Nothobranchius furzeri: one gene and its partners. The protein of the gene in region 5 purifies or fractionates together with the protein of the main gene of each other region. This does not show direct contact. Links are inferred from orthologs where the notes say so. Each region holds a gene or a part of one and is shown on either strand. Other genes may lie near its edges.

Evidence for each region.
Region 1: the proteins of larp7 (region 5) and rplp0 purify together in Homo sapiens (affinity purification with mass spectrometry; 3 studies listed by BioGRID and IntAct, with this or other methods). This does not show direct contact. The link is inferred for Nothobranchius furzeri from reciprocal best matches to the Homo sapiens genes LARP7 and RPLP0.
Region 2: the proteins of larp7 (region 5) and kpna3 purify together in Homo sapiens (affinity purification with mass spectrometry; 3 studies listed by BioGRID and IntAct, with this or other methods). This does not show direct contact. The link is inferred for Nothobranchius furzeri from reciprocal best matches to the Homo sapiens genes LARP7 and KPNA3.
Region 3: the proteins of larp7 (region 5) and srp9 purify together in Homo sapiens (affinity purification with mass spectrometry; 3 studies listed by BioGRID and IntAct, with this or other methods). This does not show direct contact. The link is inferred for Nothobranchius furzeri from reciprocal best matches to the Homo sapiens genes LARP7 and SRP9.
Region 4: the proteins of larp7 (region 5) and hp1bp3 purify together in Homo sapiens (affinity purification with mass spectrometry; 3 studies listed by BioGRID and IntAct, with this or other methods). This does not show direct contact. The link is inferred for Nothobranchius furzeri from reciprocal best matches to the Homo sapiens genes LARP7 and HP1BP3.
Region 6: the proteins of larp7 (region 5) and drg1 purify together in Homo sapiens (affinity purification with mass spectrometry; 3 studies listed by BioGRID and IntAct, with this or other methods). This does not show direct contact. The link is inferred for Nothobranchius furzeri from reciprocal best matches to the Homo sapiens genes LARP7 and DRG1.
Region 7: the proteins of larp7 (region 5) and ltv1 purify together in Homo sapiens (affinity purification with mass spectrometry; 3 studies listed by BioGRID and IntAct, with this or other methods). This does not show direct contact. The link is inferred for Nothobranchius furzeri from reciprocal best matches to the Homo sapiens genes LARP7 and LTV1.

The regions. Positions count from the first base shown.
Region 1 is NC_091743.1:54,619,573-54,623,822, forward strand, and holds rplp0 (large ribosomal subunit protein uL10), read right to left. Parts: upstream 2,904-4,250; 5' UTR 2,824-2,903; exon of another isoform or gene 2,612-2,823; intron 2,538-2,611; 5' UTR 2,484-2,537; coding exon 2,430-2,483; intron 2,348-2,429; coding exon 2,172-2,347; intron 1,944-2,171; coding exon 1,856-1,943; intron 1,506-1,855; coding exon 1,359-1,505; intron 1,231-1,358; coding exon 1,045-1,230; intron 967-1,044; coding exon 826-966; intron 645-825; coding exon 492-644; 3' UTR 435-491; downstream 1-434.
Region 2 is NC_091754.1:26,743,936-26,747,676, forward strand, and holds part of kpna3 (importin subunit alpha-4), read right to left. Parts: intron 493-3,741; coding exon 403-492; intron 317-402; coding exon 287-316; intron 200-286; coding exon 147-199; intron 55-146; coding exon 1-54. UniProt on the Homo sapiens protein: Functions in nuclear protein import as an adapter protein for nuclear receptor KPNB1. Binds specifically and directly to substrates containing either a simple or bipartite NLS motif.
Region 3 is NC_091742.1:28,143,463-28,147,714, reverse strand, and holds the start of srp9 (signal recognition particle 9 kDa protein), read right to left. Parts: upstream 3,013-4,252; 5' UTR 2,883-3,012; coding exon 2,811-2,882; intron 2,704-2,810; coding exon 2,635-2,703; intron 391-2,634; coding exon 271-390; 3' UTR 1-270. UniProt on the Homo sapiens protein: Component of the signal recognition particle (SRP) complex, a ribonucleoprotein complex that mediates the cotranslational targeting of secretory and membrane proteins to the endoplasmic reticulum (ER).
Region 4 is NC_091743.1:76,856,216-76,860,664, forward strand, and holds the start of hp1bp3 (heterochromatin protein 1-binding protein 3), read left to right. Parts: upstream 1-1,616; 5' UTR 1,617-1,743; intron 1,744-2,181; 5' UTR 2,182-2,195; coding exon 2,196-2,262; intron 2,263-4,449. Other genes in the region: eif4g3a (eukaryotic translation initiation factor 4 gamma 3), read left to right, coding at 1-74. UniProt on the Homo sapiens protein: Component of heterochromatin that maintains heterochromatin integrity during G1/S progression and regulates the duration of G1 phase to critically influence cell proliferative capacity.
Region 5 is NC_091742.1:73,341,350-73,345,806, forward strand, and holds the start of larp7 (la-related protein 7), read left to right. Parts: upstream 1-1,555; 5' UTR 1,556-1,702; intron 1,703-4,172; exon of another isoform or gene 4,173-4,193; 5' UTR 4,194-4,198; coding exon 4,199-4,394; intron 4,395-4,457. Other genes in the region: NACHT, LRR and PYD domains-containing protein 3, read left to right, coding at 127-210, 336-419, 614-691, 788-1,106. UniProt on the Homo sapiens protein: RNA-binding protein that specifically binds distinct small nuclear RNA (snRNAs) and regulates their processing and function.
Region 6 is NC_091746.1:51,122,555-51,126,860, reverse strand, and holds the start of drg1 (developmentally-regulated GTP-binding protein 1), read right to left. Parts: upstream 2,810-4,306; 5' UTR 2,659-2,809; coding exon 2,620-2,658; intron 918-2,619; coding exon 794-917; intron 648-793; coding exon 472-647; intron 396-471; coding exon 326-395; intron 1-325. UniProt on the Homo sapiens protein: Catalyzes the conversion of GTP to GDP through hydrolysis of the gamma-phosphate bond in GTP. Appears to have an intrinsic GTPase activity that is stimulated by ZC3H15/DFRP1 binding likely by increasing the affinity for the potassium ions.
Region 7 is NC_091747.1:66,352,755-66,357,222, forward strand, and holds the start of ltv1 (protein LTV1 homolog), read left to right. Parts: upstream 1-1,485; 5' UTR 1,486-1,643; coding exon 1,644-1,646; intron 1,647-2,001; coding exon 2,002-2,133; intron 2,134-2,209; coding exon 2,210-2,395; intron 2,396-2,679; coding exon 2,680-2,767; intron 2,768-4,243; coding exon 4,244-4,370; intron 4,371-4,468. UniProt on the Homo sapiens protein: Essential for ribosome biogenesis.

The DNA of each region.
Region 1 (4,250 bases), on a different chromosome or scaffold from region 5:
TTTGTCACGGAGTAGAATGCAATAGATATTTTTTCTCTTTAAACGTTTTGATCAACTGACATTTAACCTCATTGAGATTTCTTCTGGTAAAAAAATAAAATCAAGTTAACATTGTTTGGTCAGATGGAAAACTATATATAAAATAATATTTCTCATTACACAAGCCTCCCTTTAAATACTGTAGATCATTCAATTCCGAGATTTCGATTTCTACAGAACTTTTATCAAGTAATCAATTTATTTTGAAGGTTGACACACCCAAACCGGAAGTTTCAATGTTCTTGATGTTTAACGTCACTCTGATGCATCATCTGGTTTGTTACAGACCCATCCTCCTTTCCCAGCTAATCTGAGACCATTACATGGAAGCCATAGTATCTTGTTTCTTTTATAAATGTTTATCTCCTAAAATATTCAAAAACTTACACAAGGAATGTGTTTTATTAAAGTTTATTGAATCAAGATCTTTGACTCATTCACTGTTCACAGGTTTAGTCGAACAGACCAAAGCCCATGTCATCATCTGATTCCTCAGACTCCTCCTTCACCTCCTCCTTAGGAGCTGAAGCTGTAGAGACTGCTGCAGCTGCTACAGGTGCTGCGACAGCAGCAAAAGCAGATGGGTCAGCCAGGAAGGCTTTGACCTGCGGAGGACATATCAAAGTGTTAATTTCTAGTTATGCTATTAGTCAAAAATAAGCACTCCTAACAGACGTGAATTTAACATGCCTTTTGCATAAGGATCAGCCGTGCAGCACGATGCATGCTACACCAACAGGTTTACAAGTTAACCAAAAACAATTTAAAGCAGAATGAGTCAAACACCTTGTCCGCCAGGGGGAAGGAGTAATCCGTTTCCACAGCGACAGCCAGGACTCTCTTGTAGCCATTGATGACCGAGTGGGGGACAGAGGCCAAAGTGGGATAGCCAATCTCCAGACACACACTAGCAATGTTCCTCACACCCTGGACAAGTTAAGAAAAGTGCAATTTAGACATATAATGTCCCTGAACATTAAAATGTTAATAGACCTTGTGCCTCACCTCCAAGAACCTGGTGTGCAAAGAAGCCTCTGTGATGTCAAGCACCTCAGGGCTGTAAACACTGCCATTATCATACACTTGCTGAATGATGAGTCCAAAGGAGAAGGGTGAGATGTTCAACATGTTGAGCAGAGTTGCCTCGCTGGCACCAACTTTGTCACCGGTTTTGATCAAGCCGACATCACTCTAAAAAAACCAAAAGCAGCAGTTACTGGGTGCACTTTGCCACACTTTTGAAGATTTTTAAAAATGCATGGTATCGATTTCCAATTTTCCATCTAAAATTAAAAACTAGAACAGCTGTCTAAACTCACCAAAATTTCAATGGTTCCTCTTGAGATTTTGGTGGTGATACCAAGAGCCTGGAAGAACGAGGTCTTCTCAGGACCTAGGCCAGTATTCTGAGCTGGCACCGTCACATCACAAGGGGCGATGGCTCCAGCACGAGCAGCTGCAGGTACCTGAGGAATAATGTCAGGAAAAATTGTCATTGTCAAACAAAATCTTAAACGTTAACCCTAAAACTAAATCAGTATCTATAGTCGTTATAATGTCTGAAACCTTACGTCCCTGAGAGTCAATACGTAGTGACAGACAGGGATAGCGAGGAAACAAGTCACTGTTTGCAGGGGGAACGACAATACAGTACAGAACTGGCTGTATTGTAACTTATCCTGCACACTTATAAGATTTCCACACAAAAATGTGCATTCTAATGTTATCGCTGTACGCGTTTCACATGATTATGAAGTAAAAATGACTTAAATTACCATAAATTTTATAATTTCTGTACCAGACACTATTCATTTACCTTATTAGCCAGCAGCAAGTCCCTGACCTCTGTCAGGTCCTCTTTGGTGAAAACAAACCCCACATTTCCTTTAATGTGGGGAAGAAGCCTGTCAAAACAAAAGATTGGCTAATTCAGACAATGATTTTTGACATTCTTTAGTTATGCTTGTTTGAGGCCTTGCGTCCCTGGCTGCCGGGGGACATAGACAGTCAGGGATAGCAGGAGACATGTTACTTTCAGCAGGGGGAACGACAATACAGCACCACACAAGCTGTACAGTAGAGATCCTGCTCCATGGAAAGCACCAACAAAAAGCTGTTAGCATAAAACTCACTTCTCCAAGGCAGGATTGTTCTCCAAGTGACCACGGATGGCTTTGCGCATCATGGTGTTTTTACCCATCAGCACCACAGCTTTCCCACGCAGAGACAGACGGATGGTCTGCATCTGCTTGGAGCCCACATTGTCTGCCCCCACGATGAAGCATTTTGGGTAATCATCCAGAAGTTGCTGCACATAGAACACTGCGTGTTAATTTAACTGCGGAAACTGGTCAAATCACGTCCGCTGTTAGCGTAAAGATCAACCTTACGATGATTTTCATAAAATAGTTTGACTTCCACGTGGCCCTGTCTTCCCTGGGCATCTTGACAGTGCTTCCAAGGATCGCTTTACAGCCGGTTTAAAGACAAGGTGAAATCTATAAACAGAAAACATATTGAGTTTTAACCAAACTCAATTTAGAACAAATACCAGAAGTGTTAGAAACTCTACCGTCTCCCACGAGGTCGACGGCTGACATTAGCTGGTTAGCGTTAGCCAAACAGGCCGCATTTAACGTAAACGAATTACGTGTTTAGAAAAGGATAAAGAGCTACACATCATTGGGTAGCGTATCTAAATGAAGTCAATACACACTTTTAATATGTTACAAATAACTAATCTTTTATTTTGGTTTGTGAACGCAACAAGACAACATGGCTCACCAAGTAGCAGGGCGCGTGAAAGAAAGAGGGCGAGGTTGGCCGCGAGAAGTATTTATTCAAAACTGTCGACCAACCAGAGCACAGAGACAGGGCAAACTTCACATTCATTGGACCATTTTCCTGTCCATCATTTTAGTAACTAACCATCACTTTCGTGTCAACTCTAAAAAAAACTTTATTAACAAAAAGAACAATAACACAATTCCCTTAGCAATTCAAGTACAAATCTTTAAATAAAATTGCACCTCCAACAAGCTATATATATATATATATATATATATATATATACATATATATATATATATATATATATATATATATATATATATATATATATATATATATAAATTAGCAAAAAAGAGCAGAACTTTAGTGTGTCACATATATCAATCAATTATACAAAAAAGTAAGGAAAAGAATAAGAGGGGAACAAAATGGAAGCAAGAAAAGAAGTCCAAACAAATCTCAAAGAGGATCTATTTTTCTTATGAAAAAGAGATTAAATAAATTCAAGTAAAATCAAGCTGTTCTAATAAGGCATAAAGTTTAGTAGCAAGGGGGTTTCCAACGGTTTTCGAAGATTTTTTTTTATTATGGAGAAATCATTTTTAAGAGCAACTGAGAAAATTCAAATACCACAAATTACACTGACCATATAGTCAGTTGTTTAAACCAAGACTTCCAACGTTGGCATGGCAGATGGCATGTTGAACAGCAGCGCGAAACGAAGGCTGCTACAGTTTGTCCCAAATTTTCTTTTAAAAGTCACACTCAGAATTTCAAAATGAGCCAAAATAATGTTCTGAAGCCGGCTAAACTCCTTTTACCTGGTGGAAAGTAGGATGCGAACAGCCTGAGTGGTTAACTGCCTTACTGGAAAATTAATGAGCTGTCAAGGAATATTGGCTCAATCCCGGAGCTCAGGGATGGATTACACCACGCTGTGAACGCACAAACTCATATAATCGTCAAAATGAGTCGTAAGCTTGGAACTTTGGCTGAGATTCAGACTCAGGCAAAGAAGGTTGATGACATCAAGGATAGAGTTGACGGATCAGCGCGGATTGGGATCGATTAATTTACACCATTATTAGATTTAGAGGGGTTGGAGACCAATGGAACTTTAAGACAGAGAGGAAATTATCTCTGTCTGGCCCCAAAACAAGTTCTTATCTGAATCTGGTGCCCTTGAGCCTGTGAGGCTGAAGTGAATACTCCCCCCTCAGAAGAAATGTGGAATGCTGCTGTCGCCATGGCAACTCTGTCTCCGTATCCCAGCCTGGGCGGGATTGCGACTGGTGAAGGCCGTTGAATCATTTACAGGAGTCACTGTGCTCTCTAACCCAATTACCTCCCTCCCCTGTCCAAACAGAGGTGACGAGCGCTGCTTATCGCGGCTGCACGCACTGACGTGTGGAGAGTCCCCA
Region 2 (3,741 bases), on a different chromosome or scaffold from region 5:
CCGGACTTTATCAAGTCATCGATGGGAGGGTTTCTGTCGCTGGAGAGCAGTTTTCTGACAAAACACACGAAAACGAACAAACTTTCATTTCATGGTAAACAATCACAAGAAATGTCGACATAAACGACGTCTGAAGAGCCCCCGACCTGGCTGCCTGTACAGCACTGAGCTGTATAACTGCATTATCACTGGTTGCATTCTGCGGGGACAAAAACACGAGAGTGTCAGATAGAACAGAACAGCAGCTCATCTGAGAGCACAGGACGGCTAGAATGAAAAAGCTCACCTGTAGGATTGCATCAAGTGTAACATTTTGCTGTAAAAATTGAAAATGTAGAAGCACATTTAATAATTTGCACACTTCATTACAAAACACACACGCGCACACACACACACACTTACTCCTTTGAAGTCAGAGTCGACATCAGAGTCCTCCAGACTCTCCTCCTGTGGGACATTTCTCTTCTTCAGTAAATGCTCGTCTCGTTTATTCTGACGAATAAGAAAACAAACATCAGTGGAAGAACAGAAGAGAGAACCCATCAGTGTTCAGAAAATCTTAAAGGAATTATTGAAGAGCGTTATCTAAAAAAAAATAAACTAGGTTTACTTTCTTAAGCACAACTCCATTCATATCAGGTAGCGAGACAAAACAGACATGTTTATCTTTGATTCCCTCAAAACACACACACACACACACACACACACACACACACACACACACACACACACACACACACAGAGTTTGGGAGGCGAGCGAGTCAGGGGTAGGAGGAGATTCCCCTGCCCTACATTCTGGTGCATCATGCTGATGTGCGTCACTGATGACTAATCAGCCGGCGCATTCCCGCTGCCCTGAACACGGAATGTGCTCGACTCAGAACCACTTCAGTACACAAGAGAAGGCTTTACCAAAGATCCAGTTCAAAGCTCAACTCACACAGATAAAAACTCAGAGGAGTTCATGCTCAGCACATAAATCACACGTCCACATGAACCAGTTCATCATTTGTCAATTTTATGACACGGTCTTCTAGAGAGGTTGTGAGATAATCAGATGATTAAGTCAACGTCTGGTGGACAGAATGACCTCACGGCAGACATCTTGCCCCCCCCCCCCCCCCCCCCATCTCTTTACATCAACAAGTCACTGAAGTATGAAGCAGCCGTTTACTCCCCAACAGAATCAGCTTGATTGAGTTCAAAGTTCACGGAATATTTGAACGCCGCTCGTGAACAAGCTAATCTGGATGTCTGCACGCGGCCCTGCCAAGAAAACAACTTCCTTTTTTTTCAAAGCTCCGTTTGTTTTCAAATGCTGAAAAACACTTTTCTCACACGTCCAACAGAAATGTCTGCAGCTATGTTGATGACACCCAACTGGCTTTCCAACAAAACCCTCTCTTACCTTTCAGACTATGTTCTTCTTAGAATCAAACAGTAAATCAGAAGCTTCTCCCTGGCAATAAACCAACACTCCTCAGTGAAGTCATCTTCAACAGCTCCTTATCGTTTCACGCTCACGTCAGGCTGCAGGTCTCCATTTGCCTAATATTCATCCGCCTGTCCCTTAAAAGTGTTTCCACTATTGTACAAAACCCGGTCACAGCCCACATGGATGCATTTCCCTCACAAATCTAGCCACAAACTTTAGTTTTTGACCGCCCCATCACCTCCAGACACCAATTCACCAACCAATCGCGTCCCACATTGCAGAAGCTCCACTGGCTCTCAGTTAAATGATTTGATTCAAAAACCATTCTTTTACCAATTCAAAGCCATCCATTTTTCTTCTGAATGTCATGCTAAATATATCTAACCATCTCTCTCTTTAAATGAGCATCACCAGATTGTGAAATGAAAAACTGGGGATGAAAATGTTAATACCAAATCTAACAGACATTTTTATGAATATTCTTTTTAGGGATGCACAATAAATTGGCATCATATCGGTATCGGCCGATGTTAAGACTTTTTTTTAATATATTTCGGTATCGGTCCAATAAAGAAAACTGGGCCGATATTAACAATTGATTTTTTTTCCATCTTATTTTTTCCATTCCATCTGTTTCACAGGGTGTGTGTGTGTGTGTGGTGTGTGTGTGTGGGGGGTATTTGTTTAGTCATTATCTCAGAAGCGTAAATGTGTGTGGTGTGTGTACATAATAACATAAATTCAGCTTTAGTAATTTCATTCTATACAAAATCTGCTGTTTTTAGAAGCATTATTGTCAGTATATCTGTTATCGGCCACAACAGTGATCTTAATATCGGATATCAATATTGGCCCAAAAATTTAATATCGGTGCATCATTAATTCTTTTATTTGTTTAAAAAAAGGGTTAAATAGTTTAGAAGGTGAACAAGAACAAATAGGAAGTAACATTTTACTTTGAAAGCCAGTCAGTAACTTGTTCTGTGTGAAAACAAAGCAGTACAAGTGATAATGCTGCAGGATTTCATAATTGTATCCTTCTCAGCAGCAGCACTGCAGGTGCTCTCCATGTCCAACATGTGTGTAAGCCAGGTCCTTAGTCAACTTAAAAGTTGCGTACATTTTTCTGCTAAGTTTTCTTTCATAAATCCCAAAGTTTGCGTGGAAAGTTGCTTACGCTGTTTTCCGACCCCGTTTTGTGAGTAAGCAAGCTTGATCAATGAGGCCCCAGGCCCTTTGCTTCCCATGAGGAGGCATAGGAATGGCGGTCCAGTCTAGCAAACGGCAACAGTGCAATTGAGACATGGGGATAATTGCCATCGTTTAAATAAATTATAGAAACAAACATTTCTTGTAAAATAAAATGCTCTAGTGTCTTGAAAAGAACCAATAAATGAAATTCTCTATTATTACTAGTTGTAAAATGTTTGACATCACTGTGTGCTAGCAAATTTAACAAAATAAAGAGTAATAATGAACCATCTCATTTTCAATCTAAAAACTGAACTAGCAAATTGAAGCTGTGGAATTACATAAATCACAGAGTTAAATGCTTAGTTTCCCAAAGTAATCTGGATTAAATAATCTGAGGCTGAAGACAGAAGATTCACGACTAAATGGCAACTCGGAATGAATTCAGCCTCTATGGAAAATGCCTCTCTGCACTGGACGTTGATCCAGAGAGCTGCCATCCAAAATGGCATCAGGCCCTGCTCCTCTTCCTGGATCATCAAGTTTTAGTTGCATTGTGTTTATTTTACAAGACACATTCATAAGAGTGCATTTAAAATCAATGTTACATTAAAAAGTAAACAAGTGATGTTTATTATGAGCTAACAAAAGAGCCGTTTGAGGGCGTCGCCATGATGGGATCCCCGCTTCTCCGAAAACGGTGACTAGAACGTGGTTTACTTGGGTGTGACGTCATTTCCAGGTCTGAGATCTGACTTCTGAGGTTCTGAGGTCAGCGTCGACCAATATGCCTTTTTAGTAGAACCAATTTAAAGGCACATCCATGTGCAGCAGAATTATTTTTAAATATATATTTAAGTTCCTGAAAAACATCTACTTAATAAAAGCTTTATTACCATTTTAATTATAGATTAAACAGTTGATTACATTCAGGGTTTCAGAAATGTTGTGCAGCCACTGTTATTGGTGACACTTAATCATGCAGATAAGGTGGAAAACATTTAGAACTTAAACTGTGAAAATCGACAGCACTTAGCGGCCATCGGCTGTCCAGGACCTCCAGATATCGGCAACAGAAAAACTCAAATCGGTCAATATCCAATAACTAACGCTAT
Region 3 (4,252 bases), about 45 Mb from region 5:
TCCACATATTCTCCTCATTCTCAGTGGCTGAGTGTGGATGTGTGTGTGTGGGGGGGCTCCTCAACACCCTTCAGAACAGAAAATCAGTTAGCGTTGCAATTTTTTTAAAATAGGGAAGAAAACAAACAGTAATGAAGACACGTCTTCCATCGGTGTAGACGGACATATGTCCCCACGTGTCCTCCTCGGTACCACCACCATCCCACCTCATCCTGGTGCTTCTGAAATGCACCGTGCCCACTGAGCTCAGTCCAGGAGCTCCAGAGCCTCTCAGTCAGTCTCCATGGCACCGCTGTGCGTCTCCTTGGACACCATAAGTCTCATCAGTTTCCCATGCAGCTTCTCGATCTTCTTCACGTCCTGAGCCTGGTCTGTTTTGTACTGCAAACACTGAAAACAGAAACAAACCGTCACCGATGGTGAAAGATCATCAACATGCCCTAGAGCCTAGAGTGTCTGTTGAAAGAGACAAAGAACGCAAGCTTGTGATTGGTCAGGAGGACGCTGTCACTTCATCAACAGCACAGTCATTGTGGCTTCAAAAATTAAAGATATTTAGTGGCAGACACGGATAAGATTGAAAAACGCATCGCGGAAAAAAATATGCGCGTTTATTCGCCCGCGACTGAAGGAGTACAAAAATATGCAACGGGTGTTTTATTTGTAGACGGAGAAGACAAGAACCGCGAGTTTAGAGGCCCCGACTGTATGAACAGGTGGAGAGGACTGAGGGACAAAATCTCTGAAATATAACAATGTAAACACAACAGTAAGTACACCATCATGGACCGGAAATGTGACTAATGGTGGCAGGATACCTCAGAATAGTGGTACGCCCTCTGCTGTCCTGGAGGGGAATTGCTTTGCAACAATCCTCAGCTGATGGAGGAGTCTGAAAGCAAAACATCGTGTGCATCTCTCGCCGCAGACACACGCAACGCCACTGTCCGTCCACGCAGGGGTTTACCAGCAGGCTCACAAGGACAGACGGAGTCGAGCCCACTTCCCTAAACATCCATCCAACGAGACAGAGAACGCAAGCTTGCGATTAGTCAGCATGTCGCTGTCGTCAACAGCGCCGCCATTGGCCCCTCAAAAACATAAAGAAAGCCAAAGACAAAATCTGTTGTTTTGGCGGAGAATTTCTTTGCAACAGGGTCGGGCCAGTATGATTAGAGGAGATACGACCAAGCCCCCACCATGTGGCTCAAAAATGGAGTCAAACCCGGAGGTACCAAAAATTACAGTTCCACCCTCATCCACTAGGGGCTGGTGTCAGAAGCGAGCAAATCCTCATTGACTCCCATGTTAAAAATACCAATTTCACAGCAGAAATAAACATGTTTACAGCCTGGTACCAGAACATGTTTTTGGTTTAAATGATCTAGTTTACACTCATGACAACTCTGAGGGGGGTGAATGTTTTTCTCACTCTTCTGTTTAAGTGTATTAAAAGCCTAAAATTCTGTATAATTAATGAGCATCAGACCCACGTGACCACAGAGCTAGCTCCGGGGAAAGGCCTCAGTAGAGCCTCGGTCTGGCCTGGAAACTGCTCCGGGATTTTGAGTCTCTGTGTTTGTGTATTCTTGTTTGGATATTATTTGTGCAATTGTTGGACAAAATGACTTGCTGTGGCATTAATTGCACTAATAGAGCGTCCAAGGAGTCTCCACTTCATTTTTTTCGGTAAGTAAAATTATATTTATGTATTTTAGGTCACTGCCGAGCTGAGCTTAGATTTTAACATGTACTGTTTAACCATGAAATTTAAATGTAATAGGGTAAAACCCAGTGCATTTAACATAATGCTGCACTTTAGAAAATGGGTTGAAATATAACATGTTGGTGGAGCTGGGTTCCCACTATCGGCTTGTGGAGCTCTCGGAGACCTCTGTGTTCCACCCGGTTCTCCCCAGCGGTCAGCCCGGCGTATCTCTGACTCAGAAGCTCTGGTGTTGTGCACAGTTAACTCCGGTTGTAGCTAGGTTGCTACCTCCGTTAGCTTAGCTCCCACCTCCGCGTTAGCTTTGGGTTAGCTTCAGGTTAGCTTGTAGCTAGTTCGACCGGGTGTCGTCAGTTGATCCCAGCCTTACAGCCCCACCCTCAGCTCCTCCTCTCTTCCCTTTTGTGGAATTGTCGGGGCTTGACTGAACAAGTGACACGGTCAAGATGGCGGTGGTGGCCACCTCCCATTTAGCCTCAAAAACATGTTATTGGAGCCTATGGAAATGAATTGTCCAGTATATATATGTCGATGGATACGACGCAGCAGCAGGGGGCGCAAATGTGCATTTGCTTAAGCATGAGTCAGGCTTTACGTTTTGTGGTCACTGACCTTTTATAGGATCAGGATGGGACCCACCATAGGCGGGCTGGCGTACATGAAAGCTCTTCAGTGATTGGATAAGGAAGGGATTATCCAATAGGCGTCGCTTTAAAGGGCTAAACTAGAATATGGGGTTACAACACTTAACCGACGTTTTCCTCCTGTCACCCTTATTGAAGCGCTGCATCTCTAGGAGTGGAGTCGCTTTACTTCGTCTGCTGAACTTTAAATCAACACAAGGTGGACGCTGGGGTAAACCTGACACAAACAGCAGAACATCGTTCTGTTTCCTTCGTTTGTCTCACCACAGCGTTGTCGGTGACTTTGATGCACAGGTTACCGTCGCAGTGTCGATACTTCAGGACCACTCTGACCTGCAAAAACAACAAAAACGCGTTCAGGAATTCTGGCATGACGCTCAGAACCAACACCATCATGTGGCTAACAAGCTAGCTCCGTGTGCTAAAACACACGAACTCACCTTCATCGGATCTGCCAGGTAGAGTTTTTCTGCCGCGCGAGCGAACTCCTCCCAGACCTGATAGTAAGGCATTATTTCCCCAAACGTACAGAGTTAGATCAGAATGTGGGGTTAAAGCAACGGAGAAGCGACAAGCTAACTTAAAAAACCCACATCAGCAGCAAAGCCGCAGCAGCCTATCAGATTTCAGATAAGAGGATACGGAAACCCGTCGATCAACCTTTTTTCAAAGTAAAAGTACACCAAAAATAAGCCACTTCAAGTCAAGTCATTTTAAATTAATCGATCATCGCCACTTTACTGACACTTTTATCTTGCATCACGATTAAATTAATAGTTGTCTGTCTCCGTCTGATGCACAAGTCCTTACAACATTAATCTCAGTTTAACGTTTCTGAACATTCTCGTTAGAGTCAGACGACTTTTATTTTGAATGAACGTGTCGTATGCCGGAAAAGTTTCTTTTTCTTTTTTTGAAACTGTCAAAGGTTTAAAACAGCTGTACGAACTTTTCTTCACTGACCAAATGGTCTCTATTATTATTGTTATTATTATTATTATTATTATTATTATTATTATTATTTATTTATTTATTACAGGAGTGCCAACTTGCGTTTAATTGCCGACGACGCACTTCTCTACACGTTACAGAGGGCTTCTCCAAGTGAGGACCATCCAACCACAAAGTTACTAAAACTGCTGAAAAGGATGCATCACCATCATTAGTGGAAATTAAGACTCAGCCACTTCAGCCAGGCCTCAGAGTTGTTCTCATAAGCTACTCTGTTGTCTATACCTGATGTAGGAACAATCAGTGGGATATTCTGTGGTGACACATTTTTGTTTTCTTTTTAAATGTTTTTAGGTTTCAAAAGGAGCAGCCAGTTTTCTAGCTAGTGGTATACAGAGGAGCTTAGAGATTTCAGACTTTGATGAAATGTTGGTTTGTATCCACTTACATTAAAGCAGCATGGGTGATTTTATGTTGAACCAAATAAAGGAAGTGTTTCCGCTGCTCACAAAGGAACTCTTCAATTTATTCAAGCTGAAAATAGTTGATAAAAGCAAGACAAATACGTATATACAGTGGGTAACTGTACAGTCTAAACCAGTGTTTCCCAACCCTGATCCTCAGGGACCTCCATGTTGCCCTTTTAAACACCCGTGTGTCTCTTCTTCTTCTTTGAAATTAGGCAGGCTAGACACCTATAAAGCGTATTGCTGCCACACCAGCCAACACACTGAGCCAGCACAACCCACTGCACACAACAGGCACGAGTACCATCCCACCCCGTGTTCCCACACAACCACCACCAACAAAAACCCACCACCCGTTCACACCCCAGTGAAAACACACAACCCCACATGGAGGTTCACCCCATACTCACACTCCCAGCCCCACCATCTACACCCACCACCAAGGGCGTCCCACAATCCTCAGC
Region 4 (4,449 bases), on a different chromosome or scaffold from region 5:
GCGTTGCCCTCAAATCCGTCACAGCCTTCTTCACCTGGCTGCGGGAGGCAGAGGAGGAGTCGGAGGATAATTGATAAGGGAGACGTCCGGAAAACGGCGTAGAACTACATCCCTAACAGCAGAACGGACTTTTAAAAGGCTGTGCAGACAGGACGACGTGTTTACGGCTGGAATTTAATTTGTTTTTGTGTCTTTTTTTTTTTCTTCTTCTGCGACACGGTTCTGAAACATGCCGCCATCTTGAGTTTGGATTCCGACGGTGGAAGCACTAAATATCTGTATCATACATAGAAAATATTTTTGTTTTAAATTTTAACTTACTTTTTTTGTTACTTTTTAAGAAGAGACTTAAAAATACATAGGTTCTGGACTCCTTAATTTATTATTTTTTTAAGGACTGCAAATATGAAAGTTATTTAACCTTTGCAGATGCTCACAACAAGGACACAACAATATAAATAACATTACAGTTAATTATAATAACACAGTAGTTGCGAGATGGGCATCTTCCCTGGATTTCACACCGTTTGGTTTTGAAAACGGGGTTCAACAGCATTAGTCTGAGAAGAATGGGGAGCAACAAAGGAGGGAATAAACATGAACTATTAACGCTGTTAAAGGTCAGAGGTTGTCTTGGAATAACCAAGAGGTGTTCCCTGAGCCTCAACTTGCTGTGTTAATATGAACACATGCCTCGAGAGAGGTAGAAGTGTGCAAATCATAACTCAAACTACGCAGAACAAGGCGAAACTTAACTAAAGTTAAATTTCACAAAGCAAAAGGCCGGGGCCGCTGACCCAAGATGCTTGTAATTCTTAAGCCCTACAGAGCAGTTTAAAGCTTGTAAATACATTAAAGACAAAAAATGTATTTAAAAAGGTGCTGATTCTTGTGATTTCTTATTTTTGTGTTGGTGTTTCAAGGAAACATTTCCTGCCTGAAAATCATTTGGAGCCTTCTATCATTTGTTTTTCTTCATTTTGGATATAAGAGCCTGACAAGAACAAGAGGTGTACCTGTAGACATAAATATGCCAGGGTGCACCTGGAGAATAGCTGGAAGACTCCAAGCCCATCTGCTGATCCACTCATGTCAATTACAATTAATTCTGTCAGAATTTTTAAGTTCTGTCCCAATTGACATGCAATACACACACATGTTATATCTATAACTGCAGTTAATTGAATCAATAAACTTGCAAGTTAGAATATTTTCCTTTTTCCAGCCAAAAGATAAACTAAATAGAAATCCATCTTCGGTTCTGCTTTAGGTCTTTGAGAGAATTTATTTGAATATGTTTGTAGAATATACCATTTCTATTTCCTGAGGATATTCCCTCCAGATATAACAATTTGTTGTTCACTTTTATTTTGTTCCGTTGGGTCAGGACGGTGGCATTGCATCCGTTTTTATTAAATGGGAGTAAAAATTAGAAACTTCACAAAAATATATTTAACAAAATAATTGCTCGTTTGAAGCAAAAAATTGTGAATGATTGCCACGTTGGTGCGGGACTGTAAATTCACCTCGTTACAAAAAAGTTCTCCAGCGTTTCCTTTTGTTTTTGTTCCCTTTGTGTTTGTTTTCTGACGGTCTCTTGGTCACGCACCTTCGACGTAATGTGTGACGTTCTACGTCACCAACGGTCCAAACGGGGCGGGGCTCGTTAACCAAGATATCGAAATAAAGGAACGTGCAGAAATTTTTAAGTATCGTTCTTTTTCCCGAAAAGCAGAAGGTAAGGTAAGTGAAAAGGGCGCCACGGTTCATGTTTTGGTTAACTTAAACTTGCACGATTCCCACGCTTAACAACGACACCGCTGTTGTATTTGACCATGGTACTGAAAGAATCCCATCTACCTTGCACGACGCCATTACTGTGTTTCTAAACCAATGGACAAAATGGCGAAATTGCCGAAAAAGTCTTTCAGCTAATTGTGTGAGTTTCATGGATTGGTCCCTTTGTTCCAGGCTGTAGGATAAATGAGATTACGGTGTGCTGACTTAAAGGCAGTCAGTGTTTTGTAAAAACAAAATAAATCGAGGTTAATGAAAATGGGCCTGGTGATTGAATTAAGTGTGTTCGGCCGTAGTAGTGGCCGCCTGCCTCAACCACGGCACGCACATAAACAGAAATGGCCACGTACCGCTGTGCGGCCAACACATTTTTCCTGTGTTCAGGTAAATCCCCCATCATGCCGATTCGCCGAGCAGCAGCGACTCCAACCCAGGAGAAGGCCCCCTCCTCAGCTGCAGAGAAAGGTGAGGCTGGGGTCGTCGGTCCCCTGAACCACATCCATGAACCCAGATCGACATTTTGGGATTTTCTGTTTCATCTTTTACACTGAAGACGTGTTAGTAATCACGCCGGAGTTTTCCTACATGTGTGTCGGTGCCTACAGAAATTTAATGTCTTCATTGCGATACTAGTATTTATTAAAAAAAAAAATGAAAACGTATATTTAGATTTTTACACTCACGTTTTGTGAGTCAATGCTAAATTTAGTTGATTTTACCGAGTTGCAGATTTCTTTTAAAAGAACCACAACAAACGTTTTTAATCGTTTTTTTCCTAGCCTGGCATGCCTTCCTACACTGAACAAAAATATAAACGCAACACTTTTGTTTTTGCTTCCATTTTTCATGAGCTGAACTCAAACATCTGAAACTTTGTCTACATACACAAAAGACCTAGCCTAGTGAACTAGACCAAATTCTTGCTTTGCAAAGTTTGGTCTAGGCATGCTCCATTGGAACCTCTGCAGCTCCTACCAGGACTCTGGCTAGCCAATCACAACTCTCTAGAGGGGTTTCAAACACATTAGGAGCTGTGATTGGTCCATAATGGTGAGCCAATCATAGTGCTCTATCTGCTTAGTGAACAAATCACAAAGCTTTATCCACTTTGTGGGCCAATCAGGGCACTCTATATGCCTGGTGGGTGGGATGATGCAACAGAGTGAAACAAGAGTATGTCACATTCATTGTCCAGTGGAATGCAGAGATCATTTGAAAGACAACGGTAGAACCCGCCCCACAACGGAGACCCGTCAATGGAGCGTGGCCAGACAAATAATACATTTACTTAGTCTGGCTTGCCAGGCTACAAAAGACCCATGACTGTCAGAAGTTGTTCTGAAATCTGTCTACGTGTGTTAGTGAGCACTTTTCCTTTACCAAGATAATCCATCCCACCTCACAGGTGTGGTATATGAACAGTGGCGGATTTAGCAATTTGAGGGCCCAAGGCGAGCACAGTCATGGGGCACTTTACACAAAATTTTCGACAATCTTACCTTTAACTGGATTTGCAAAACTCCCCTTTTCTGACATGAGTTATTTTCCCTTTTTATTAGTCCTCTTTTTTCCTGTATTTCCCTCCCTTTGAGTGCTTTCAATATTTGCTCTGCTTTCTTTTTCCTGTCAGTGCTCCTGTGCTTTTGCCTTTGTTTTTTTTTTTTTTTTTTTTTTTTCATTTTGGTCCATGTTTTCCTCCCTTTAACCATTTTCCATTGTCTTTCCCTTCTGCTTTCTTTTGATGTTTACATCAAAAATCGACGTCACTTTCAGAAGTGAAAATAAAAGCTAAAATGAAGCATGCTGCTTCTTTCTCTTTTTGGATCCACTAGGACGGTGGTCGGCAACCCGCGGCTCTGGAGCCGCATGCGGCTCTTCCATCCATCTGACGTGGCTCTCTGTGCTTGTAAAATAATGAATGGATATTTACATAAAATTCTTTATATTTTACTGCATTAATTTTACATCTGTATGCCAATTCTAAATGTAAAGATTGTCTGCGTAAACCTGAACAGTTCCAACCCAGTCTTACTGTGAGACCGGGTTGACGGGTCACGCTTGTGCGTAATCATAGGCGCTTCTGAGCTGAAGAGGATGTGAGATTCTGGGATTCTCCTCAGATGGCTCCTGGGTGTGTCGCCACATTGGGACAAGCACTATTCAGCCAAAGTTTCATAATCAGGGAACATTTCCTAAGTGACAAGTCTCGCTTTAGTCGGAGGAATCTTCCTGCATGCGCTCTGGTTCTGCGACGCGCTCCAAGCCCCTCTCCACATCTTCAGCTCGCTGTGCACCGTACGTACGCGCTGACAGTAAGCTGCGCTAAGCAGTGTCCAGCTCAGATGTTCAGATGGGAATCTTTTTAGTGATTTAGCTACATCTGCAATGTGCGAAACAAATAAAATGTCAGTTCGTCTGCATGCGTCGGGGTAATTATTTTGACAGAGAATGAATAGAAAGAAACAGTCAAATACGGGAACTGTCCAGTCAACACAAGCCCTGCTTTTAACTGTTCTGTTTCCTTGTGATAATTGTTGCAAAGAGATATAATTTAACTTGATTAACACCAGAGCCAGGCGCACTGCGCCGTTATCTCCGTCACTGTAAATGAGGGAAAAACAAAATGATCGGATCCTTTTCTGACCTTCCCCA
Region 5 (4,457 bases):
TCAGAGAGACTGGTCATATTTCAAGTGTTACACAGTTTCCCAGTGACGCCTTTAATTAAACAAAACGAAACCACAGCACTGTATGTTCAGTTGCTTTTCCACTGACAAAACTACTATATTCTAAAGGCTTGGAGATAACAACTTGGACATGGATGCCATCCAGGTTATTGCCGATACTCTGAGAGTGTCAGACAATATCACTCACCTTGGGTAAGATCTCGATAAAATATCTGAACACGTTTCAGTTTCAAAATAAACCCAAAGCTTGAAGATTTCCTAAACAGAATGACAGACTAAAATATGTCCCAATGTGTTACTTTCTTTTCCTCATTTAGACTTGGATGGTCAAACATCGCTGATGAGGAACTGGAGGCTCTTTCCAATGCCATACGAGTGAAAAGAAGGCTTCAAGAGCTGTGGTAAGAACCTTCTGAGGGTGACGTGGCATTTCAAATGAACTCTTTAGGGAAGTGAGTCAAATGACAGAATTAGAAATCGGTTTAAGCTTTGGTAATTTTGTAACATTCTTTTTTCCGGTTTGATGAATTTCCACACCTCTTGATTGATGTAAACACTAAGTGGGGGATTTTCTAAACACGCTCTTCTCTCACAGGATGGAGGGGAACCGAGTCAGCTACAAAGGCCTGTTTTCACTCAGTGACTTGACTCCATTTCCACTGAAAAATATTGTGTAAGCTAATGGCTTTGTTTTAAATCAATTTAAATTCTAAATATTTGAACACTTTGTTATTGTAAAAAAATGCATTTAATTTTCATCTTCTTACAGAGCCATATGGAATGACTTGTATGACCCAGAGCCAGAGTCCCTGTGCAGCCAAGAGAGTATTGCTGTGAATTTTACAGATGACGAAATGTGGGACGAGTGGGGGAAATGGGTCCTTCAGCGCTGTGAGGTCAGCAGCAATGAAAAGTTGGTCACGGTACTGCGTAACGTTTGCAACACATCAATAGATTGCGTAGAGGATCAGCGGGCAAAGACTTTCTACAATCAGTTATCGCAACTCATCAAGAAAAGGATTGAGTGCTGCACTGAGGATGATTTGTGCAAGAAACTAAAAAAGTTTGAAAGTATTTTGAACATATGAAAATGTGTAGGAAATATATGAAATATGAAAAATAACAAATGTATGTAGTTTTGTTAATGTCAAATATCGCTTTTTGTGTAACTTCTTATGACTCTACACATACATTAGAATAAAATGGGAAGTATTAAATAAATGAATGAATGAAATAATTAATATGAAGGATGAAACAATGCAGCACAATAAAGAATGGCCCGTACGGAGATTGCAACCGCAATCTTGGCGCTATTAGCACCACACTCTAACCAACTGAACTAACCGGCCACGGTTTACGTCGTGAAATCGTTATGTATTGATCTTAGCTCATATTTCGTATTCTGCTGTCCGCTATATGATGCACATTATTTTGTTTATATTTTTAAAAAAATCGACTGGATAGAGTTCACGCAAATTATCAACAGAATCACTGAAACCGAAATGAATGATTGGTTTACCTTTATTTTGAAAAGACTTGCCGGATGTAGAAAAACGCTCATGACGACTTCAGGCTGCGACGGCTCTGAGCAGTCATTAGTGTGATGTTATGCAGCAAGCTGCGATTTAATAACATTTTTACGAATTTAAAAGCCAACTGGTCTTTTTATATTTTCTTAAATTGGGTAAGTTTTCATTCTAGTTTTTCCTCTGGGTGATAAAGATCGGTTTTCCAGGTTTGGAGGTACTAACACCAGCGCAGCGTTTTTGAAACCAACCCGCGAATTCCCCTGTACTAACGTCGAATGTTGTTAACAAATGTTAGCCTTACGGACCGCGGAAACAGTCAGAAAATGTGTTATTTTCCTTCTAAATAATATATGTTTAGTGCCATTCTGGTTTTAAGTATATTATGCTTCACAATTCAAACAAACACGTCATAAAACGACAAAATACACTCACTGGCCACTTTATTAGTTACAACTGTCCAACTGCTCCTTAAGGAAAATTACTAATCAGCCAATCACATGGTGGCAACTTAATGCATGTGGGCATGTAGAGATCACGAAGACGATCCCCTGAGTTCAAACCGAGCATCAGAACCGGGAAGAAAGGTGATTGAAGTGATTTTGAACGTGGCATGGTTGTTGGTGTCCGATGGGCTGGTCTGATTATTACAGAAACAGCTGATCTTCTGGGATTGTCACACACAACCATCTCTAGAGTTTACAGAGAATGGTCCAGAAAAGGGAAAACATCCAGGGAGCAGCAGTTCTGTGGTTGTTGATGCCAGAGGTCAGAGGAGAATGTCCAGACTGGTTCGAGCTGATAGAAAGGCAACAGTAACTCAAATAACCACTCGTTACAACCGAGTTATGCAGAAGATGCGAACCTTGAGGCAGACGGGCCACAGCAGCAGAAGACCCCTCCACGGGTACCTCTCATGTCAGCGAAGAACTGGAAACTGAGGCTACAACTCACACAGGCTCACCAAAATTGGACTAAAGAAGATTGGAAAAATGTTGCCTGGCCTGAAGTGTCTCGACTTCTGCTGTAACATCCATCCTGCCTTGTATCAACAGTTAATGCTGGTGGTGGTGGTGGTGTAATGGTGTGGGGAACATTTTCTTGGCACACGTTGGGCCCCTTTGTACTAACTGATCATGTTGCAAAGCCACAGCCTACCTGAGTATTGTTGCTGACCATGTCCATCCCTTTATGACCACAGTGCACCCATCTTCTCATGGCTACTTCCACAGGATAATGCACCATGTCACAAAGCTCCACTCATCTCAGACTGGTTCCTTGAACATGACAATCAGTTCACTGTACTCAAATGGCCTCCACAGTCACAAGATCTCAATCCAGTAGAGCACTTTTGGGATGTGGTGGAACCTCTGAGGAATGTTTCCTGTACCTTGTTGAAGACTTAAGGCAGTTCTGAAGGCAAAGGGGTTCAACCCGGTGCTAGCAAGGTGCACCCAGTAAAGTAGCCAGTGAGTGTATATATCTGGTGTAGTTCCTTAAATGGTGCTTAAATTCCGGACGCATTTTAAATAGGGTAAAAGTATAAATAATGCAAATAAATGACAAACTTTTTAATGGTAAGTTAATTAGATGAAGGTTTTGTTTGATTTTTAAAGGTTTTGTGCACCTGTGAACCGACGGCAAGTGGCAAAGAAATCAAGTACATTTCTTTTACAAAACATTCATGTTTTTTTGGGTAGTTTATTAATTCTGGCTGGATCAAAATGATTTTGATGGCTTCATCTAGTCTCTACACTAGATTTAAATACTAAACAGATCTGGTGGCTTAAATCTGTTCTTATCGTCTTTTAAAATGTGATCTCTGCATATTTTAGGCTTTATATATATTTAGACAAACATCAGTTACACAACTTAGCATCCAGACAGCATATTGGTGAATAAACTGTATGTTTCTGGTGTTCAATATACAGTTATAAACTCTGAGAGTGGTAAATATTGTATGATCTGCCAAATGTAGTCAGGGCATGTCAATTGAAGTCTGTTTTTTAGGAAAAGGGTCAAACTACTTATAGTCCAAATGTTGGCCCAAAAAGAGAGTGACACCTTTGTTTGTTTTCAGATTTGTGTATTTTTGGTCTCTTAACCTTATTTAGTCGTTTAACTGTACTGTTTTTACTCTGAGGCGTTGTTGTTATATTACGTATTATAACTACCTTCTCAGGGTTTCTATGGAAATAAGTGCTTTATGCTTTTTTTGTGCTACCCTGTATATTTATTGTTTTTATGTCATATTGTGAAACTTACTTGTATTATTTTATTCTATAATTATGTTATCTATACAAATAAAAAATCAATCTATCAACATAAAGATCATAATAAACAATCCAATGATCTACGCATCCCTAACTCACTCATTGTCACAAGGCTCTACCCTAGAGTTTCTAGTACAGTTTGACTGTAAAAAGTCTTGACTCTCATTGTTTGTGTTCATGTAAACAGCTCTAGACATGTGCGTGCTGCTTGTGTGTTAGCAGCTTGTATTATCAGTAGGAGACCGTCGTTCATTCTGTCGCTTTGTGATTAAATTAGGTCTCGTTCCTCCCAAAAACTCCCGTAAACAGACAAGTCCACAGTCGTCTACTCTTTCTGAATGTGTCTGTGTTAAAGAGCTCCGCTGTCACCCCACAGCCAGGATGCTGAACACAGAGAAAGAAGCAGCTGATGCAGTAACATCTATGGAGAAGAACAAGGAGATGGAAAGAAAAAAAAGGTCTCGAGTTAAACAGCTGCTCAGCGACATAAAGAAGCAAGTGGAGTTTTGGTTTGGAGACGTCAACCTGTACAAGGACCGCTTTCTGAAAAAGCTCATCGATGAGTCCGACAAAGGATGTGAGTGTCTGAAAGTGCTAGTTCTAAATCTCAGATTGACTCGATCAGAGCTTGACGTGTTTT
Region 6 (4,306 bases), on a different chromosome or scaffold from region 5:
AAAGATAACATTCTGTTTTATTAGATACAGTTGGAATGATGCAAGAGAATAAAGCTTGCCATGTCTGCACAATTGTTTGCTATTTTAGGAGCTAGATAGTTGCAGAAACCCTGCTAAGGCCTCTAAGAACATGAAACAGTTATAAATAAAACATTTACAATAAGTCATCGTGTTTTAGGTTATAAACACACAAGTTAGGTCTAGTTGACAGCAATTCATAAAAAAAACCTTTTATTCAAAGTTAATTTCTGATTTCAGTTAAATTCCAAAATTATAACATCAGTGGCTTTCTTTTTGCTTTAGCAGAAATCTAATAAAACTCTACCTGCAATGACCTGCCTGCCTCTACCCTTGCCGTCCTTGGCTCCTTCGATGATTCCTGGAAGATCCAGGAGCTATAAAGAAAAAATAAATCTCAACCCAATGAAACACCACTTTAATATCTCAGGACTGGAAGACATTTTCCTGTACCTGAATTTTGGCACCTTTATACCGAATGACCCCAGGAACTGTTGTAAGCGTTGTGAACTCGTATGCTGCAACCTCAGAGTACACACCTGCTAGGTTACTCAGCAGGGTGGACTTTCCTACTGAAGGAAAGCCAACAAAACCAACTCGAGCATCGCCGGTTTTTGCCACATCAAAACCTGTATGTGAGAGAATAAAAACCTGAATTTCTGTAATTATGGATAAAAACAGACATAAATTTAAATGCCTCATGGGAGAGAAACCTCAGAAACAATTCCTGAATTGGAGCTATTTGTGAATTAAATACACAATATAGTAAGACTACCTTCTCCAGGTCCACCACCACTCCCGCCTTTTGGTGTGATGAGCTCCCTCCTCAGCTTAGCTAGACGTGCTTTGAGCAGACCCAAGTGGTGAGCTGTGGCCTTGTTCTTCTGTGTCCTGGCCATCTACAGTAACACCAGAGTGCATGATGAAATAAGAAGTAAAACATTTAGCTGGACCGTTTTATTGCTTTCAAAGTAGAACTTTAACAGAAGCTAATTACTTGAAATGTCTAAATTTTGATTCATGGCTTGCTCAAAATTAAAAGGAAACTTTAAGAAGACTGGATGGGTGCCTAATATGAGCTCAGTATAATTATAGGAGGTCATACATATCTGTGTTCTATCTGACTTTACACACAGCATACAGATATTGCAGAAAAAATATTAGTTTTGATGGAAAGATGGATATCTATTTCATTACACCAACTTATTTAGATTATTCGAAAAAGTTTATTTAATAATACAGTAGTAGCATTGTTCAAAACATTTAAACCACGCATAACTTCTTCAGGTTTGCTTCCTAGGAAGCTGATTTTCTTGTAATAATCTTTATTTACTGATATTTGTTTTTCTATTGCCGAAATGTAGGAGACAAGTTCAGCCAATGTCCAATATGTATTGCCAATATTTATGGCCCGATTTCAAATAGCCAATATCTAGACATTTTCCACCTGATTTTCATGCTTAACTGTCACTAATAACGGTTGATGCACAAAATTTCTGAAGCAGTTTTTGATCTCTAAATTTAACGAATAATGGGCCATTCCCATCTGTACCGGGTTGGCCCGGGCCGGGTAGCCCCAGTCGGCCCCAGCCTGGCCTGGTTGATTCCACACATTCTTGTCTTAAGCCCATGTGGGCTGATTCTACCCACCAATCAGAGGCTTGCTCTAATGGAAGGTGTGAATTTGCTGTCAGCAGTGGGTGTGTTGGCCCTGGTCGGCCTGAAGCAGACCCCCTTGAGAAGAGGGCTGAGAATGAGCCTTGTTTGGCCCAGAAAAATACCAGACCACCCAGATATGTAAACAACCTACGCTACCCGGCCCGGGCCGACCCGGTACAGATGGGAATGGCCCATAACTGTTAACTTTGTGCACTGTGAGGCAACTATATAAAGTTAGAGTATTTATTATGCAGATTTTATTAGTGAATGCAAAAATACATTTAGATTAAATTCTATAACAGCACCGGGCTGCCTGAGGATGTGCCTGACTTTAAATTGGCTTTCTGAAAGACAAATAACACTGATGTATAAAAAACCGTTAATATCGGCCTATATATATTGGTCTACCCCTAATTCTAACTCTGCTTTTATATTTTGTAGCACTCTAAAGAACTGGAGACAATTTGTACTTTTATAACAGATTACCAACAAACAACCATTTATTACACGTATCTGAATTATATTTGATGCCTGTACGCTCAGAGTGGCTTAAAAACAAAAATTTGGTCCGGTGCCGTTTTCGCGTCAGTGCATTTCGATATTGTCAACTCAGCGCATCTGTCAGTTAATAACGATAATATTAAAGCAATTAACAGATTAAATTAATCAGTTATTCAAATCTAAGCTAGAACCGGTTTAGCATATGCGTTGCCAACATCTGTGAACTGACATTAATCTCTTTATTCATCTATAAGTGACAACTAAACTGAACACTGAAATACATTTTCTTTTTTTAACAGCTTAAACTGTCAGGGATGCGGGGCCAGTCAAATATAGGTTAAAATGGATCTTCTTTTATGAGATAGCGTTAGCGACTAGCAGTAGCTATGTGAACTAAACGTGACAGACTCGAAGGGTTTAAAGCGTCAACTTTCGCCTTACCTCATTTTCTATCTCTGCTATTTTGGCAAGCACACTCATGGTTACGTTGATTCTAAAGACCACTTCACCTTAACTATGTATACCGGAGAGGTTTACCGACAAATATGACAAAGTTTAGGTGGTTAGGTTTAGTTAGCGTGTACAGTAACACACACCACACAAACGCGGCTACGCCAATTCACGGAAAGTCTCGCGAGATCGAAGACCTTCCCTACGTAGCCTCGCCGTAAACGTCATTTGGAATCGTATGACGTCCCGCTTTTCTCGCCTCTGATTAGCTGGATGGGCTCTGTTGCGATTGGCTATTTAATGTAAGAGGAACCGTCTTTCCTCGCTACAGGGTTACAGCCTAGGTCTTGAGGAGTTTTAAAAAAGAAAATATGAATTTAGCGCTACAATAACCATTCTGTCCTATTTTGCAACATACCAGCTTCATTTTCTTTTATAAAATTACATAAAAAACGTCAAATGTGAGCTTATAATAAATATTGTTGTTTACAAGTTAGAACACATCTCTCATCATCTGATTAAATGTATATCGAAATTGAATTCAAAGCTGATTATGATTTAGACTTTTTTTCAGCAGTTTTCATTACTCTAGAAGAGAAACAGACCTGCAACCTGGGTGAAAAAGGGCAGTTTTATTATATTTCACACCAAGGTAAGGCATACATGTTTATCCTATTTACTCTGCTTTAATAAGATTGCATCAATGCTTGAGAGCCAAGAGATATAAAGTATGTCCAACAGTGTGATAAATAATTTCACAGTTGTGTTTCAGTTTTGTAAGTAAAAGAAACAAAAAGCACGCAGTATTTTGCAAAACAGGACAGAATGATTATGATAGCGATAAGTTCACATTTTCTTTGCAAACTCCCCAAAACAGCTGCTCTGTTGGTGGCAGGAGCAGGGCCAGATTAACACTTTGTTGTACCCTGGGCAACAATATTCAAGGGCCCCATCATCATGACCCAAGGATCACCATAATATGGTCACATACAGAATATTTTACTGTAATATGCAGTAAATATACTCAATACTTGAATGCCTGACATCATGTAACCTGCTCAGGGTAACCTTTGACCCACCTTGTGTGGACTGACCAATGAGGAGAGGGTCTTAACTTGAGGCCCTCTCTTCACTGGTCAGTCTGGCATGAGACTGACTCTCAACTGACGTTCAAAGTCATAGAGCTAGCTCTCAGTAGAGCCTCGGTCTGGCTTGGAAACTGTTCCAGGATTTTGAGTCTCTGTGTTTGTACATTCTTTTTTGGATATTTTTTGTGCAATTGTTGGACAAAAAGACTTGCTGTGGTATTAATTGCACTAATAGAGCGTCCAAGGAGTCTCCACTTCATTTTTTTCGGTAAGTAAAATTATATTTATGTATTTTAGGTCACTGCCGAGCTGAGCTTAGATTTTAACATGTAGTGATTAACCATGAAATTTAAATGTAATAGGGTAAAACCCAGTGCATTTAACATAATGCTGCACTTTAGAAAATGGGTTGAAATATAACATGTTGGTGGAGCTGGGTTCCGACAATCGGCTTGTGGAGCTCTCGGGAGACCGATGTTTTCCACCCGGTTCTTCCCTCCCCGCAGCTCGGCGCATCTCTGTCTGATCGCGGCTTCTGTCTGCTGCGCGGGCTGCCAGCTTGTGGAGCTCTGGGATGGAAACCTTTCCTC
Region 7 (4,468 bases), on a different chromosome or scaffold from region 5:
GCCTGACCAAGATTACACACACACACACACACACACACACATATAGACAAAACAGATACAGTCCTGAATGGACAGCTGAGAGAGACAGATGACATTCCACACCTTCCAGGAATCGAGCATATATCCCGCTGCGTGTGTCCCGTGAGGGCAAGTGGGAGCCCCCTCCTCCGTTCTCATCGTAGAAAAAATCTTATCAATCACGTTGAATGACCAATTAATTAAATCCATTTCTGAAAAATAGTGATCTCCAGAGGAAATGCAGAGAAGCGCTCTGTAGTCAGACGGGACAAAAAGAGCCTTGGGAGAAAAAGATAAGGGAGCAAAGCAGAAGCGACTGTGCTCTGTGAGTGCCAGGAGAAGAAAAAATATATATGATATTGTATTTATGATTTTTTAAAATCTAAAATAAGCCCACACACCAAGATATAGATCTATACTGTATATAGAATTTCGATATTACAGACGATGCTGCACTGTATACACTGTACACTGATATTACTCGTTACACCCTCCTGAATCAACGCAGGCGTCATGCAACTTTAGAACACTAACGTTGAGTCCGTACCCTCAAGCAGCAAGGGCAGCTGTAGACCATGATAAAAGATCATCTTTAATTTTCGTACTTACCTTTAAGTCTGTAATTAGGCGCCATTCTTCCTATTTTACGGCGCTCTTGTTCAATCGCCGGAAGCTCTCCGTTGAGGAGAAAAGCATGCATTTCTGTGTATTCGGAGATATTACCCGTCAAAAGCAAACATCTGTATTTATTTTCCAAATGTTTCTGACATCTGTGCTTTTTGTGGTTGTAAGGGAGAAAATATTGAACATGTTTTTGTTGATTGCTTTCATGTAACTTTGTTTTGGTTCCATTTACAAAGATTCATTTCCAGAAAGTTAAAAAAATATTTCTTTAAGCAAATATGAAATACTTCTTATTGTTACTAACCCTCATTTATCATCCAATGAAAAATACATAATTAACTTAGTCATTATTTTAGCAAAATATTATTTACATAAAATGATTTTTCAGAAAAGTATCCCCTCCTTCTATAATTTCAGAATTACAGACCTTATGAAATATTGGAACAGCATTGAAAAATTAAAAAAGAAGAACAACAAACTAACAAAGACCATCAACTTATTTCATCATTTCAACTTAGACACAGCAGACCCCTAAGTGTTATGTTTCTACGTTATATATGTTTTCGTCACTATTTTGTTTATTTCTTGTTTTTTTTTTGTTTAATAGTTTCCTAATGTTGCATGTATGTTATTGCTATTGTAAACAACTGTAAAATGTGATCCATGGATATATTGAATGTATTTTCTGAATGTATCGACCACAAGTTAATAAAACCTTTTAAAAAATAAATAAAAAATAAATAAATTTATGTGTATTCGGAGGTTTAAACGTAACGCAGTCTGTAACTGTCGCAAAGTTGGCAAAGAGGAAGTGACGTAAAATTCGCGCATGCGTGTTACGGATCGGGTTTCCGGCACGGGCATCGCCGTCAGCGTGGAAAGACGTTACTTGTGTTTTATGTGAAAGGTCGCTGTCTCTAACAGATACACGGAGGTCGAGTTTTTATAAACATTAAATCAGTGTCAGCTGCTGAAGGAGACGTTTGTGATTCCAGCACAAAATGGTAAGAAGACCTTTTCCTGCTAAGCTAGCCGTGTTAGCTAACAGCAGCTAAGGTGGTGAGCATAACAACAAGTATGTAACAGCTAACGCTCGTTTATATGACTTTAATTCAGCTTTTCTAGATGAGCTGGTGGATGTCGATGACGATCTCAAGCGTGTTTGTTCCTTTTCCCTCCAGAAACATGAATGTTTTGCATAGATTTAGAAAACTTGTTCAGAAAGGAAAAGATGCCTTTTTGTTCACGTCCTCCTGCTCTCATTCAGACAGCAACTCCAGCTGTTATAAGCCATCTTAACTCGGTGGCGTTTATCTGATTTAACATGTTCTAACTAAATGTCGTCTAAATCTGTTCCAGCCTCATCGAAAGAAGAAATCATTCATCGAAAAGAAGAAAGCGGTGACCTTTCACCTGGTCCACAGGAGTCAGAGGGACCCTTTGGCTGCAGATGAAACAGCACCACAGCACGTCCTCCTGCCTGCCACTAAGGTCCAGCTGCAGAGAAAACCTTGTCAGATGTCCCCAAAGACCTGATGTGGTTCTAACAGGACCTTGTGTTTTTCAGGCAGAGGCAGAGAAGAGGCGTGAGGAGCAGAGACAGTTTGGTGTTTTCTTCGATGATGATTATGACTACCTGCAGCACCTGAAGGAGGCGTCGGGCCCCTCAGAGCTGGTCACAGCTGAACCCACGATTCACCGCCGACATGAAGAAGATGAGGAGTGTGAAAAGATTACAGACAAGAATGTTCCTGTGAGTCTCTGTTTAGCCTTACTTCAGCCCTGAAGGTCACGTGTAGGACGTTGTAGTTTAGAGAACGGCAGGTAGTGACCCAGTCGTGTATCTCTGACCATTCTGTTTCTTCCTAACCTTCATAAGAGCTTTATCAGAGGAGTTTCACGTTTTACATTTATTTTGGTTTTATTAACATTGATCAGCTGAGAGGGAGCTGTCAGCCATGTTTATTTACACACCTGAGTGATGCTGGCCGGTGTGATACAAGGACTGATCTAATCCTTGTTGTGCTTTCTGACCAGGAAGCTTCTATCCACCTGCCCTCTTCAGTGTTCGCCTCAGAGTTCGAGGAAGAGGTGGGACTTCTGAACAAAGCTGCACCTGTTTCAGGTAGAGCACCTCAGATCAGGGATGCTTTGATCTGGTCATGTGATCTGATTTCTGATCAGGATTCAAACAATCGGGTGGAAAAGATCAAGCATGAGATTTTCAAACAACGGCTTAGTTTTTATGTTAACAAGTTGCACTACATCAATATTCATGGTTTCATAGACCACACTGACACTGTAACGTCACACAGTTTATGGCAGGTAGGAGCTTGGACACCGTAACATGCACCTTCATCTCCTCACGCTTAGACTACTGTAACTCTCTTTTCACGTGTCTGAGCAGAACCTCCCTGAACCGTCTACAGTAATCCCTCGTTTATCGCGGTAGATGCGTTCCAGACCTGGCCGCGATAGGTGAAAATCCGCGAAGTAGGGACTCCCAGCATGCCCCTCGCGGGGATTCCCTCCACGTCGCACCTACGTCACAAACCGCGGCTATAAACGGAAGTCGCCTTTCCAGCTCACCACTCAGTCATCGTTTCTTCAGATTCATGATCAGTTTCCAACCTACCGATCAATCCAACGAACTATCAGCTCATAGTAAGTTATCTTACTTACTTCTGGAAAGCCCGGCATTTCCGTGTCACTTCGTTGACGCTCGAACGCTCGGGGGTTTCCTAGAGCAGCCGGCGTTTCACCGACGCTATCACTTCCGCGTCTGTGAAACCACGCTCCCTATTGAATTATCGTATGATCAGATTCTCTTTTTGGGGGTAAAACTCAAGAAAAAAATTTTTTTACTTGTTTTTTTTTTGTTTTATTACAAAAAGTGCATTTTATGATGAAATTGATGAAAAAAAACAAGAATTTCTTGATATTTCGCATAGAAAAATACCGCGAATCAGTGAAAAATACCGCGAATCTGCGAATTCCCCCTGAAAAATGCTCCAAAGAAAAAATCCGCGAAGCAGCGAATCCGCGATGAACGAACCGCGAAGTAGCGAGGGATTACTGTACAGGTGGTTCAGAACGCCTGTGCTCGGCTTCTGACCAAGTCCTCCAAACACACCCACATCACCCCGCTTCTCCTCCAGCTTCACTGGCTGCCAGTCAACTTCAGGGTTCATTTCAAGATCCTGGTTCTGGTCTATAGGGCCTTACATGGACAAGCACCATCTTACATTGGTGATCTTCTTAGTCCCTACACCCCCAGCAGGTCCCTGAGGTCCAGTGATCAAAGCTTACTGGTTGTGCAGCACCAGGCTAAAGGTCAAAGGTGACAGATCATCTGCTGCTGTGGCCCCCAGACTCTGGACCTCTCTCCCCCTGAGCCTGAGATCAGTGGACTCAGTGGTCTCCTTTAAACTCACCTGTTCAGGCTTGGTGGGACCTTCATCTCCCTCTCCTGGTTCTGCTCTTGTTCCTTTGAGAGTTCCTGAAAACGCCTCATCTGGCTGGGAGACGCATGCACGTCGGGAAGTTCCTGTAAATTTACCCTGATGCTCCGGTGGTGGAAACAGCTGATGTGTTGTTTCAGGACCCCGACTGGACATGGACCCAGATATCGTGGCAGCTCTGGATGAAGACTTTGACTTCAGCAACCCTGACAACATGCTAGAGGACGACTTCATCATCAGAGCCAACTGTGCAGCCGGAGGCTGGGTGTGAGTAAGTCCTAATGGTTCCGGGTTTAGCTGGTACCTGTGGTCTGAGTGGGAGAAGAAGACCACCACACATCTGCTGACTGACATGTGATGCTGTT